3 linked regions of the Mus musculus genome follow. The protein of the gene in region 3 purifies or fractionates together with the protein of the main gene of each other region. This does not show direct contact. Links are inferred from orthologs where the notes say so. Each region holds a gene or a part of one and is shown on either strand. Other genes may lie near its edges.

Region 1 (4,249 bases), on a different chromosome or scaffold from region 3:
GTACTAGGAAGGTAGAGGCAGGAGAATCGGAAGTTCAAGGCCATCCCAGGTGCATAGTTTCAGGCCAGCCTGAGACACATTACACTTTTTTTAAAAAGTCATCATTGTTAAGCTGGTCATTGTGGGTCATTGTCTTTTATTCCAGCAGTTAGGAGCCAGAGACAGAAGGTTTGAATGAATTCAAGGCCAGCCTGAGACTACAATGTGAGAGTCTGCCTCAAAACAAAAGAAAAAAAAAAAAAAACCACACAAACAAGCAAACACAAAAAACGGACAAAGGAGATGGTTTAGCAGGTAAAGCACACTGGAGAAATGGCTCAGAGGTTAAGAACACTGGCTGCTCTTGCAGAGGTCCTGAGTTCAATTCCCAGCAACCACATGGTGGCTCACAACCATCTGTAATGGGATCTGATGCCCTCTTCTGGTGTGTCTGAAGACAGCGACAGTGTACTCACATAAAATAAATAAATACATAAATAAGTGTTAAAAAAAAAAGTTTGGGCCCAGCAGGTAATGCACAATCCTAACGACCTGAGTTCAATCCCAGAATCCATTTAAAGGAGGAAGGCGAGAACCAACTCCACAAAGTCGTCCTCTGACCTTCACATGTGTGCGATGGGCCATTCATACATGACAATAATAAATAACGCAAAAATCTCCATTGTTTGCATTTAACATAAAATTAAGGAAACAATTATATTTGGAGAAAGAAAACATTTATATTGGGGGTGCCAGAAATAATGGGGCTGATAACAAATAGCTTGTGCCCTACCTCAAGCCCTTTGAAGTTACTATGGCTTCCAAACTCTGGGACTTTCTGTACTAGCTGCCTTCCATTTGTCCAGCTGCAAACGGAAGTTACTATTCTCTCACACGTGTATCAGATCGCGTAGCGCGGTCCTTTGAGACCTCGATGCCACTTTTAAAACCCGGGAGCGCTCCCCCGCCCCCGCCCCTGCCCCTCCCCGGCCTAGTGTGGGAGGTAGAGAAAGTGGCAGAGGGCAGACCCCTCTGTAGCGGGTGTAAAGACACGCCCTGCCTTCATCAAAGCTTTGAACACAGCGCCTCCGGTAGCATGAATGGGGAGCCTCTGTTTTTTTGTCGGGTTTCAGATGCGTCTCCACTTTTTTTCCGTTGTAGCTGCCAGCAATGGAATATTTGTCTTCCCGTGCTGCAGAGGCTGAGGTGGAGTGGATTGGGGGGTTTTGTTTTGTTAGATTATTTTCCATCGAAGCCAGAGACTGCGAGAGCCACGGGGTACCTTTCAGAAGTAGTTCCAGAAGAGCAGGGAGGCCGGTGGAGGGCACCAGGGAGGACCTTTAGGGCTTCGAGAGTGCCTTCGGCAGGCTGGCCTCGACCCCACCTGCGAGGGGGCGGGACCTTGTGACGTTGGACCAATCAGCAGCTACCTGAGCGCACCTGGCCTCCTCCCGCGGGCTCCAGCGAGCCGCGGTGCTCAAAGCTGCACCCGGAGCTTAGCAGAGCGCGCCCCACCGTCGCGGCAGCCTTCTCACCTCCCTTCAGTTATGGAGCTTCTTAGTGGGCCTCACGCCTTCCTGCTCCTCCTGCTCCAGGTACCACAGTGCTTTGCCATGGTCCTGACCCGGATTGTTCCCTGGAGGGCGGGTGGGGTTCTCACGCTGCGGGCGTCGGGGGAATCTTAGGGCTGTGCTCCTTGGGGCCAAGGTTGTCCCGGAGGGCCCCCCCCCCAGGACTCCCAAGAATGGGTGTACAGAACCAGGCATGCCTGTGACTCAGCCTCCTCTTTAACCCTTCTACCCTCACACTCAGGTTTGCTGGCTACGCAGCGTGGTCTCCGAGCCCTACCGAGCGGGCTTCATCGGGGAGGCTGGAGTGACCTTGGAGGTGGAAGGAACTGACCTGGAGCCGAGCCAAGTTCTGGGGAAAGGTAAGACCCCTCCCGGAGCCAGCCTGGATGGAGCCACAGTGCGGAAGACCACACGTGCTTCGCTTTACTGTGGCGCATCGGAAGGTTGTCTAGAGCAGAGCTGGGACGTCTTGGAGCCACCCCACATCCTCGGGAGGCGTAGAAAGTGGCTCCCGGGCTGGGCTGGGCGCGAGAAGGCTGAGCAACGGTGCGCCTACTAACGTCCAGCTCTTCTGTGCCTCGCTGCTACTGTTGTTGCTTATCTTGACCTCTCGGTGCCTCGCGGCTGAGCCCCTCACCCAGCCCCGACGTGGAAAACTCTCCCGCCCCGCCACAGTAGAGGAATGCGCAGTGCACATTCCTCCCGCAACCCCCGCGCAGGTGTGGAGATGAACCGTGCCCTGAGCAGCCCCCTTCGCCCCTTCTCTGGCCCCCTTTGTGAACCGTGCTTTGTGTCTCCGACAGACAGACCCGGTCTGTTTCTCTTCTCCAGGCTGCCCTCCCCGCCCCCCTTCTTCCCGGGCAGCTGGAATGCACTCTTAACCCTGCCATTCCCGGAGGGCCTGCGCCCCTGCAGCCTGCCTGCGAATGGCCTGGCACACCTGGGCGGAGGGCATCACGCACCGGGAACACTAGGTCCCTCACTCCAAGCGTCTTGGTACTAGGATGTTAATTACTTGAGTCGCGGGGGAAGGGGGGAAGGCAGTCTGTGTCCCAAGCCGACCAGTGAGTGAGCGAGCGAGCGATCAAAGCACATTTTGATCTTTCTGTTGCGATTTTCTCCACTCAAGTTCAAAAACTTAAAAGTGGAGGGTCATTTCGGTACTGAGAACCACCAGTGTGTCATGAGACTCGGGCATCTATCAGCTGGTTAGCGGGCTCTTTGACTACAGAGGACAGTGGGATTTTTCTCGGGAGTTTAAACCCAAGTTGTTAAACTCGGATCCTTAAGTAAAGTTCCAGAGAACGTGGGAAGGGAATCTCTAGTTTCTGCTGACTTCCAAAAAGCATCTGCCACCTAGCATTTTCTAGTGCTTCTCACTCCAGGTCCACACGTCCACAGCTTGAATATGGGGGTGTCCACGCTGAGAAGCAGAATGACTTTCCTTTGTTTCTCCAAAAGAAAAGTGAGACCCTTGTGTCTGTAGAACGCCTTTTTTAAAAAAAAAATTTTTTTTTTCCTCAAATAACTCTGCAGATTGACAAAACAATTAACACCCAGGCTAGGCTAGGTTCCTTAAAGGCTTGGCTGTAGGGAGCCGGAGCCTAGGCAGTAAGAGGCCATGCCTCATAAACTTTAAATTCTTGCACATGGGTTTATTACTGGCGGGCTAACAAACTGCAACTGAGCCAACCTGTAAAAATGTTAACTTGGCCAGGGCCCCAAATCCAATTCTGGCTCCCTGAGGAAGCTCTATGGCTGACCAGATCTCTGCCAAATCCACCTCCCCCCACCCCACGCCCCCACCCCAGCCCTCACCCCCACCTCCACATCCTCTGCTGTATTCAGAGAGCAGGTATAGCTTTGAGTTGTGTCTTATCTTCCTTACTGAAGCAAAAAGTATCAGATTAGCCGCCACTTTCCTTGGCTTGAGGTTGCTGATCAGGGTTTTGATTACATGGTTGAGTTGGCCTGAGCTTCCTGGTGACATCACCAATTTTAAAACTTTTTTTTTTCCTGAGGAAATTCTGCTTTCTCTGATGTCTGGTTTATGATTGTGAAAATGGTAGGCTTGTACCAAGAATGTACCTGGTTAATAAAACAGAGTAGACTAATGTGCTTGGCACATCGTGATTTTCCCGACAAACACTACTGACTCTCGGGACAGACTTCCCTGGAAATGGGAAATCACTTTGGTCTTGAGTGAAAGCAAGTTTCCGGCCCACTTAGTGCTAGTAAGTTGAGACTTTGCAAACTAGATGGTGTGCTTATAGTCCCAGCTGCTTCAGAGACGAGACAGGATCTCTTGGTCCCAGGAATTTAGCCCAACATAGAGACTATAGCAAAATCCTAGCTCCTTTTTAAAAAATTACTTAGTTTGCTGTGGTGGTGATGCACACCTTTAATCCCATCAGAAGTCATAGGCAGATGCTCTCCCAGGCCAGCCAGGGCAACATAGTGAGACCCTTTATCAAAAAACCAAAACGAACCAAAAACACCCAATAAGAATATTTATTATTTGTGGCCAGAGTGCATTCAGAAGTCTATTTTTCTTCCCTCTGTGGCTTCCTGATATTGAACTCAAGTTTTCAGGCTTGCTCAGCAAACACTTTCATCCACTAGCCCAAGTGTGTATGAGACAGAGAGGAGACAGAGAGAGAGAGAGAGAGAGAGAGAGAGAATGTGTTTGCATGTATGTA
Region 2 (4,213 bases), on a different chromosome or scaffold from region 3:
TGCTTTCCCAAGAGGTGGAAGAGGTCTACATTGACTCCAACACCGAAACGTTCTTGAGGCGGAGGTGTGCGACCTTCAGTTTACTGCATGGCTATCCAAAGGGCCTAGTGTCTTACAGAAACAGTGATCGGTCGTGGTGAATTCGATGCTGGGTGCCAAGGAGATGCCACTGAAGACGCGGCCTTAACTAGCGTCTGAGTCAATGGGCTCCGGATGCAACTTCCCAGACTGAGCAGCTGCCTAAAGACCCCAAGAGAGAATTTCGTGACCCATGTGGCCGCCGGAAGTCTCAGTTCCTGGACAGCAGGTTCTAAGCGTCGAACTTAGTTGAAAAAGTCATAGCGGGCTGGAGAAACCACGTGAGTGGCCACGATCCTTCCTCGCCTCGAGCCACCACATGTCATATATTTATAGTGTTTGATTTGCACATGCAACAACAGGCAGGAGCTCAATAAATGTGTGAGGCGCTAATGCTTGTGTCTATGTAAGCAGGCTGTCTGGAATAAGGTCCCTAATCGGCACAGGGATGATCAAAAGGGCAGGTGTTTGTGTGTGTGTGTGTGTGTGTGTGTGTGTGTGTGTGTGTGTCAGGGTCCATCTAGTATCCCGGGGACGTAAGAAGCCTCCAGATTGAGCAAAGGACGCTGTTCACACCAAGGTTCCAAGTCATCCACAGGTTCCACCGGTCTAAGGAACCACCTTCTCCGCAACTTGGACGCAAGTTGTGGCTGTATGATAGTTAAGGAAATGGAGTTCCAGAGTTTAGTAATGGATTTCAGGTTAGAGAATAGCTGGAGAGCGAGCCCTTTAAGATTATTCCCAGTGGGCCTGTCCCGGTCTCTCCAGGGAGGGGAGGGCGGGGCCTGGGACGTTAGCCCCTCCCACCGCGGCCCCGCCCCGGCGCCCGCCCCGCCCCCGGCTCGCTGCCCGCGGTGCCTTTGATGTTCCGACCCGCCGGCTCCCAAAGCTGCTGTGCCCCGCGCCCTCGCCCCGCGCCCACTGGCCGCTCAGGCGGAGTCAGCGTGCGCTCCGCCCGCCGCGCTCCGGGCTCGGAGCCCCGCACCCTGGGCTCGCCGCCTTCCCGGCCGGCTCCGCGCCCCGCACCCGGCGCCCCGGCGGGCGCAGCGCACCATGCCGCAGCTGGACTCGGGCGGGGGCGGCGCGGGCGCAGGCGACGACCTCGGCGCGCCCGACGAGCTGCTGGCCTTCCAAGACGAAGGCGAGGAACAGGACGATAAGAATCGCGACAGCGCTGTGGGCCCGGAGCGGGACCTGGCAGAGCTCAAGTCCTCACTGGTGAATGAGTCCGAAGGCGCGGCCGCAGGCGCCGGGGTCCCGGGTCCCGGCGTCCGAGTACATGGAGAAGCCGAGGGAGCGCCCGAGGTGAGCCCGGCCCGCTCCTCCCCGGAGGACCTCGTCCCGAGTTGGTAGCGTGCGGACCCGCCCCCCCGCGCCACGGTCCTCGTGGGTCCCATCTCTGGAGCCCCTCCTGTTCCCTCCGCTCCTCATGGCCCCTCTGCTTCGCTCTGCAGGCCCTGGGACGGGAGCACACTTCGCAGAGACTTTTCCCGGACAAACTTCCAGAGTCCCTAGAGGACGGTGAGTTTTTGCGCGGCTGGGGAAGAAGGCGCTAGAACCGGGGGTGGGGGTGTGGGGGGCGGGTTTCCCGGGCGCCGCTGAGCTGGAGTCACTTCCGGTGCCCTGACCTTTATAGGAGTAAACAGACCCCCGCCATCTCCGCCTCCCCTCCAGCCCAGGTGACTGACTAATCCTTTGCCTTGAGGAGCAAGCCTTGGCTAAGGTTCCCAAGCAGGAGGGTGGGGTAGGGAGTCAAGTCCCGGTCGCGAAGTGGAGGTCTGGACTCGGGGGTCTTTCCTCAAAAACTTGCCTTTGCGGATATTTCCACCCGTTCGGAGGTCGCTGTTCCCTGTCAAGTCACGAACTTGAAGGGGACCCCTTGGCAGGGTTTTTTTTTTTTTTTTAACCCCCCTCCGGAGCAGACAGCCTTCAGTCCTTAGGAGCAGCTGGCTGGGCTGGTGTCTGACCCAGCTGTGGTTTTTCCAGGCCTGAAGGCCCCGGAGTGTGCCAGTGGCATGTACAAAGAGACTGTCTACTCTGCCTTCAATCTGCTCATGCCCTACCCACCGGCCTCCGGAGCAGGGCAGCATCCGCAGCCTCAACCCCCGCTGGTAAGTGACCGAAGCAGTCAGGCCCTGTAATGGGGCTGGCTACCTACTTGACCACACAGGTGATGCTTGGACAAAAAAGGACTTCTCTGCCCAATTCCTAGATGCTCTTGCCCAGTTAACATCCAGAGGAGTCTGACCCAAAAGGAGATCTCTGAAGGAGCGCCCCGGCTCCAGTCTTTCTCACTTGCTTTTGACCTTTGTCTTCCCAACTTGCTCAAGCAGGTGCCTGTGTTGGCCCACGGTGGGGTTGAAAACGTTTTTGAGCTGAGCCCATGCCATTCCCTAGCGTGATGTGCATGCTCTGAGCTAGAGCTCTGTGGTTAGCTTTTTTTTTTTTCCTTCAGAGAAGCGAGGGAACTCGGGTGTGAGAAGACTGGGTAAGAGACCTAATCTTTTCCGTTGCCCAGTTCCACTGTGTCCTGACTGCCGTGTATAAGTCCTTGCCGAGGACCCATGCCACATGGTGTAGGTTTTGAGCGGGCTGGGCTGCTCTCGCACACACAAGGAAAGGTTTGCTAAATGTAGGACAGATCAGGGTGTTGGTTAGGGGTCAGCAACGTGAATCAGTGTCAGGCTTGGCGACACGGCTGTATTCATCATGAGCCATGGCTTTGGCCCTTCAAGGCAAGCAAAGTGTGAAGGGCTGGTTCTGAGCTGGGTAGCAGCCAAATATGACTTTTGAAAAGTTCTGGGGTTCCTGAAAACTACTGGGATTCCAGAGTGTCCTCAGTCAGGAGTTAGGGTGTACAGGAAGCATGGAGGTCTGTTGGGTGTCGCCGTGAGCCCAGTGCAGGTTGGAGCCCCGGGGTAGAGCCTTGGATGGCGAGTGGCAGACCCATGCAGAAGGCTCCCCGGTAGGGGGCTAGGATAGGGAGTCTAGGCCTCTTAGCCGAGGGAGACCTGGTAGTCTTTAGAAGTGGACTCCATTCTTTACCTGTAAGCTGTGTGTGTTGACAGAATGGTCTGTTTGTCTGTCTGCTTTTCTGCTCTGGGATGGCTTCTGTCTGTCTGTCTCTGCCTTTCGGCTCTGGGATGGCTTGGTAGATGAGGTGCTTCTCTTGTATGTAAAGAGGTGGCTGGCTCCTGACACTGCCACTTGACAGTGCCACATGCTCTAGATAGAGACTTGTGCCCTGTACAAACAGTGCTTAACCAAGATAACCTTTTAAAATCCCCTAATGGGTGTAAAGCCATCTGGGGGTCAGTTGGCAGAACCTACCCCTTTGAAGTCACTGGCAAGCATTGTCTGGGCTGAGACTAGGCTCACTGCGGTAGCCATGATGAGACAAAAGGCAGAGCCCCCAGAACCTTGCTGGCAAGGTGGATGTTCAGGACTGTCCAGCCACACGGGGAAAGGGCAGTGTGGTTTGGAGGTTTACTCACAGATTTAGCCAGAGACATAAGCTGCCCAGAGCTGCCGGAGGTGGGCATGAGTTAGCGGTGTGACTGTTCAGCCTGAGGGTAAGGGTGATGGATCTCAGGGAGGTCCAAGAGCAGGAGAATGGTGGGTTCCCACAGTCAGGACCATAGTCACCTAGTTTAGGGCTCTGCATATTTTGCTTTGGGGGTCCTTCTCAAGCTACAACAGATGAATAACTACACGTCACTGTCCCCCTGCCCTCCTTCTCAGCCACTGCCCTCATCACTGCCTTCTGGTAACATGGGAGAGGGAGAGTAGGCTCTGGTACTGACTTTCCTGGCCATGGTATCAGCTGCTGAGCAGAATAAGAAACAAAGACAGAAGCAGGGGCTTGTGCTGGAGGGGTGCTGGGTTAGGGACATAGATGTGTAGGAATGCAGAGAGACTATTCGTTATATATGTGTGTGTGTGTGTGTGTATGTGTGTATATACACAAGTGTGTGCATGTGTGTAATGTATATGAGGGCAAGCACACCCCGAGGATAACTGAAGTTGGCTCTCTCCGCTGTGACATGAGTTCTGAGGCTGGAACTCACCATCAGGCTTGCACAAGTCGGTTTAGCTGCTATGCCGTCTTCCTGGCCCAAGAGAGAGTCTCTAGCAA
Region 3 (4,022 bases):
ACACTTTTCCTTTTATAAAACTTGTAGCTAACCTAGGAACCACACCATGACCGGTGTTGCTGAAGAGCAAGCATCGCAGGGCTGCCTAACATTCCTCAAGCTGCGTCCTCTCAGGACAGAGGCTGCCTCCACAGGCCTCAGAACTGTAGCTGCTCATCTACTTTACTCTCTGTGGCATGAAGATGTCTTCAGTGAGATTGTTTTAAATAAAAAGGAGTTGACAGGGGCCACAAAACAACAAAAGAAAATGGAGTTAAAATGTTTGTACGTTTGCAAGGTTTTTACGAGTTTGTGAACACCGTTTCAGGAGTTTGTCCCTCGGGTTTGCTTCTGGCCAAGGACACTAAAAATTTACCACTAGGTGATGGGCAGAGACCACGACCTGGCCTCACCTCACCTCACCTCAGCACTGATATTTCAGTTGACTCCATCTACTTTCACTGTCCACTTCCTGCTTAGAAGTACAGCAACAAACGACTGTAAATATACCACTCCACTCCACTCGCCACCTGCAGTGTGCACAGGCTCTTGTCCATGCTCTGCCCTGAGTTTATTTGCAAAAGGGCTCCACCAGTTTTCCTGAGCACACATTTCAAAATACACTCCGACTAAGAAAGTTCCCCATCCTCCACCTTGGCGGTGGGATTCTGGGATTCTGAGACTCGTGAGCTAAGGCTTCACTCACAGTCTCTAGTCCCATCGTCACTACAGCAGTAGATACTTCCCTTCAAGCTGGAGACATAGATACCCAATATACAGTCTCTAAACTAGTGTTCTCAATCTGGGGGTTCAACAACCCTTTCACAGGGGTCACCTAAGACCGTGGGAAAACATTTACATTATGGTTCACAACAGTAGCAAAGTCAGTTGTGAAGTAGCAAGGAAAGTTTTACGGTTGGGGTCACCATAACAGTTGAGAAACTATTTTAACAGGTCACAACATCAGGAAGACTGACTGAGAAGCACTGCTCTAGACTATGAGAAATGATCACATGACAGTTAAACTCTATTTCTTCACGCCTGCATTCGATTAAATGTTTCCCTATCTGAAGATAGTCTTTTTACAGACTGTGAGGCCCAGGACTCTGTCCCAGGCAAGCTAAGCTTTCCAGATAGCCTGCTTCCTTAATTAAGGACTTCAGCCTGGGAGGGTTTGTTGTAGAGAAACATCTGCAAGTTTCCAACTTCCTTGCCACCACTAAAGGCCTTGTCCAGACTCGGCCTTGAGGACAAAGGTTAGGTAGGTCACAGAATGACTATCCCCAGTACCATCAACAATGTTGTCCGCTGTGAAAGGGCGTTCTCAAACAAACCTTGGAGGCACTTCATTTTAATTTCGGGGATTTCTGAATGTTTAAGGTGAAAGTGAACTAAATGTAACTGCGGGCCTTAACTCAAAGTTTGAGCCGGACATACAAAACCGAAATACAAAGGCCACAAGCTTAAGCAACATTAAATTAGAACCAAGAAAGCAAGCTCTTTCCCGGGACGAGGAGAGACTGCACTGAGACATCTGCAAACCTCAAGTAAATAGCGAAATGGCTTCCTAAATCCCAGACAAAACGCTTCACAACTTGGCCATGTGAAAAACATGAGGCAGACTTTATCAAAGGCAAAGCTGCCGTCTCCTCAGCTTGCTGTCTGGTCTAAGCCACCATTATTCATGGCACAAAGCTCTCGTTTCACTAAAACCACTCCTCGATTTCCTCTCGCCGACCTCCGCATACCAGCAGCCCAGCCGCTCTCCATTCAGAGCTCAGGCCCCGGGAGGGGGGCTGCGGGGGGCGCGGGGGAGGGGAGCCCACAGATGTCTGGAGACCCGAGCCCGAGACAAAGCTGCCCCGCAGCCAGCGGGCTCACCGGAGCGGGCCTGGGGTACCGAACTTGGGAGCGTCGGTTCCAAGTCTGGTCCCCCAAACAACACTCAGAACAAGTCGCCAGGCTCCCACGCCCTGGCGGTCCGCGCTCCGGCCACTCCGTCTCGCTCAGAAAGCAAACGCGCTGGGGAGAAACACTTGGAGCGGACCCCACACTTACTGGCTAAGGGCAAGTCCCCCTCCCCCAAGCCCAGGTTTCGGATCCCGCGCACCTCCCCCCCCCCCCGCCTCCAACACCAGGAGTGGCCGGTGACTCGTCCACGGTCCCAAATTCCCGCCAGGACCTCGGCCCCGCAGCCACCAACCCCACGCGAGTCCAAGAAGCCACCCTCCGAGAACACGCTCCTGACGCATCCCGCCCGCTGCATCCAAGTTTGGCGACTCCACGGCTTAAAGTTGTTTGGATTCAAACTCACAGTCAGGTCGTTGCAGGGAGAAAAAAAAATTTGTCTGTGCGTGCTCCACGAGGGACAGAGGGGACGAGCGCCAGGTCTCGCGTCCCCCCGGCTCCGCGGGCCACGGAGGCGAGGCCCCCGCCCACCCCGCCCCCGCGGCGGCCCCAGCCCGGACGCGAACCGCGGTCCCCACCCCCCACGGCGGCCAGCCGTCCATCCGGGCTCCCGGCGCGCGCCCGCCCGGCCCCGGCCCCAGCCCGCGCGTCCCCGCGGCCTCCCGCCGCCACCCGGCCCGCGAAGTTTCCCGCTGGCGCGGCGCGAGCCGGCCCGCCGCGGCGCCGCACCTCAGGCCCGCGCGCTGCTCACTCGCGGCCGCCCGCTCGGCCTCGGCCTCCTGCACTGACGGCTCGGCGCCCACCGTGCTCCGTCTCCGCCTCCCCGGGCCGCGGGCTTCACAGGACACGAGCTGACGCGGCCGCCACCGAGCGAGGGCTTAAGATGGCGCCGCACAAGGAGCGATTTATAAGCGGCGCGGCACCGTGTATCCTGCCGCTGCCGCTCCGCGCGGAGCGTTCCGCCGCGCGAGGACGAGGGGCGGGGCGCGGGCGGGCCGGGGAAAGTAGTCCCCGCCAGTCCGAGTCGCTCTGCGCGTGCGCCGCCGGGAGGGGCCGAGCCGGGGCGGGGCGTCCAGACGCCGCTCCATTGGAAACTAAAGGAATCGAGAGCGGGCCGCCGCCGCGGGCCGGGTGGAGTGCGGCCTCGGACGGCGCAGGTTCGAGGCTGCCATCACCGGTGCACCGGCCGCCACACCCCTGAACCACCATTGGACCCCACCACACTTTACCGCTCCCAGGAGTGTCCCGCTTCCCTTCCCGCTGTGCCTCTGGAATCCGGACAGGGAACCTGGGGCCCAGCCACCTTTCCTCCCCACCCCAGGAGGCCTTGGAGTCCCCAAGAGTGTCTGCGAACATCTATTAACAAGTGATTCAGCTCCACCACTGCGTTCACCAGCGTGATTCCTAGAAACCCCATCTTACCCAGACTCACTGGGTCAGTAGAACCAGGCGTGGGGACCAAGGACAGCGATTTTTCTGTATTGTTTGAGAAACTCGAGTGTGTTGCTGAGAGGACCTGTGGGTAACCTCTTAAATTTTCAAAACTAATTTTGTATCCTTCGAGAGCTCCCCCCCCCCCAAATCATGACAATAGGGTGAAGTTGGATCTTCTCTTGGAAATGGCCCCATTGTTGTCCTTCACGATTGGCACTTGTCAAAACTGGAGCAGTTGGGGTGAATTGGCTGTCTCCAGCCTATTATTCTGAGCTCACGTCTCTTCCCAAACAATGGCAACAGGGAAAGTTGCCCCACTGCCTTCTTTCATCCCAGCGCTGTAATTAACGCAAGTAAACAATAGGTCCTTATGTACAGGTACTGGCAGGAAGCCCATGCATCACTGAGGCAGGGCCGGTGCTGTAGGGCCAGCTTAGTTTTTAAATGACTCAATTTTCTATCTTAAAGACATATCACCGTAACTCTGTGAACCACCACAGTCCACCATGCTGGAGCTGCTCAGTGAGGGCCTTTGTCTAGACCTTTCCCCTCTGCAGCTCTGCTCGGATTTCCGGAGAGTAAACTCTGCTGCTGGCTGGGGCTGACTTGGCCTGCCATAACTCAGAGAGATAGAGCAGGAAAAGGTATTTTACCAAAGCCCTACCAGTGGTGGTTGCAGCTACCAACCCCTAATTTTAATT

The links.
Region 1: the proteins of Ctnnb1 (region 3) and Cdh3 purify together in Homo sapiens (affinity purification with western blotting; 7 studies listed by BioGRID and IntAct, with this or other methods). This does not show direct contact. The link is inferred for Mus musculus from reciprocal best matches to the Homo sapiens genes CTNNB1 and CDH3.
Region 2: the proteins of Ctnnb1 (region 3) and Tcf7 purify together in Homo sapiens (affinity purification with western blotting; 8 studies listed by BioGRID and IntAct, with this or other methods). This does not show direct contact. The link is inferred for Mus musculus from reciprocal best matches to the Homo sapiens genes CTNNB1 and TCF7.

Annotation. Positions count from the first base shown.
Region 1 is NC_000074.6:106,509,433-106,513,681, forward strand, and holds the start of Cdh3 (cadherin-3 isoform a preproprotein), read left to right. Parts: upstream 1-1,419; 5' UTR 1,420-1,526; coding exon 1,527-1,574; intron 1,575-1,791; coding exon 1,792-1,909; intron 1,910-4,249. UniProt on the Homo sapiens protein: Cadherins are calcium-dependent cell adhesion proteins. They preferentially interact with themselves in a homophilic manner in connecting cells; cadherins may thus contribute to the sorting of heterogeneous cell types.
Region 2 is NC_000077.6:52,280,098-52,284,310, reverse strand, and holds the start of Tcf7 (transcription factor 7), read left to right. Parts: upstream 1-1,383; intron 1,384-1,532; coding exon of another isoform or gene 1,533-1,599; intron 1,600-1,715; exon of another isoform or gene 1,716-1,757; intron 1,758-2,064; coding exon of another isoform or gene 2,065-2,093; coding exon 2,094-2,189; intron 2,190-2,547; exon of another isoform or gene 2,548-2,566; intron 2,567-4,213. UniProt on the Homo sapiens protein: Transcriptional activator involved in T-cell lymphocyte differentiation. Necessary for the survival of CD4(+) CD8(+) immature thymocytes. Isoforms lacking the N-terminal CTNNB1 binding domain cannot fulfill this role.
Region 3 is NC_000075.6:120,932,233-120,936,254, reverse strand, and holds the start of Ctnnb1 (catenin beta-1), read right to left. Parts: upstream 2,856-4,022; 5' UTR 2,617-2,855; intron 1-2,616. UniProt on the Homo sapiens protein: Key downstream component of the canonical Wnt signaling pathway.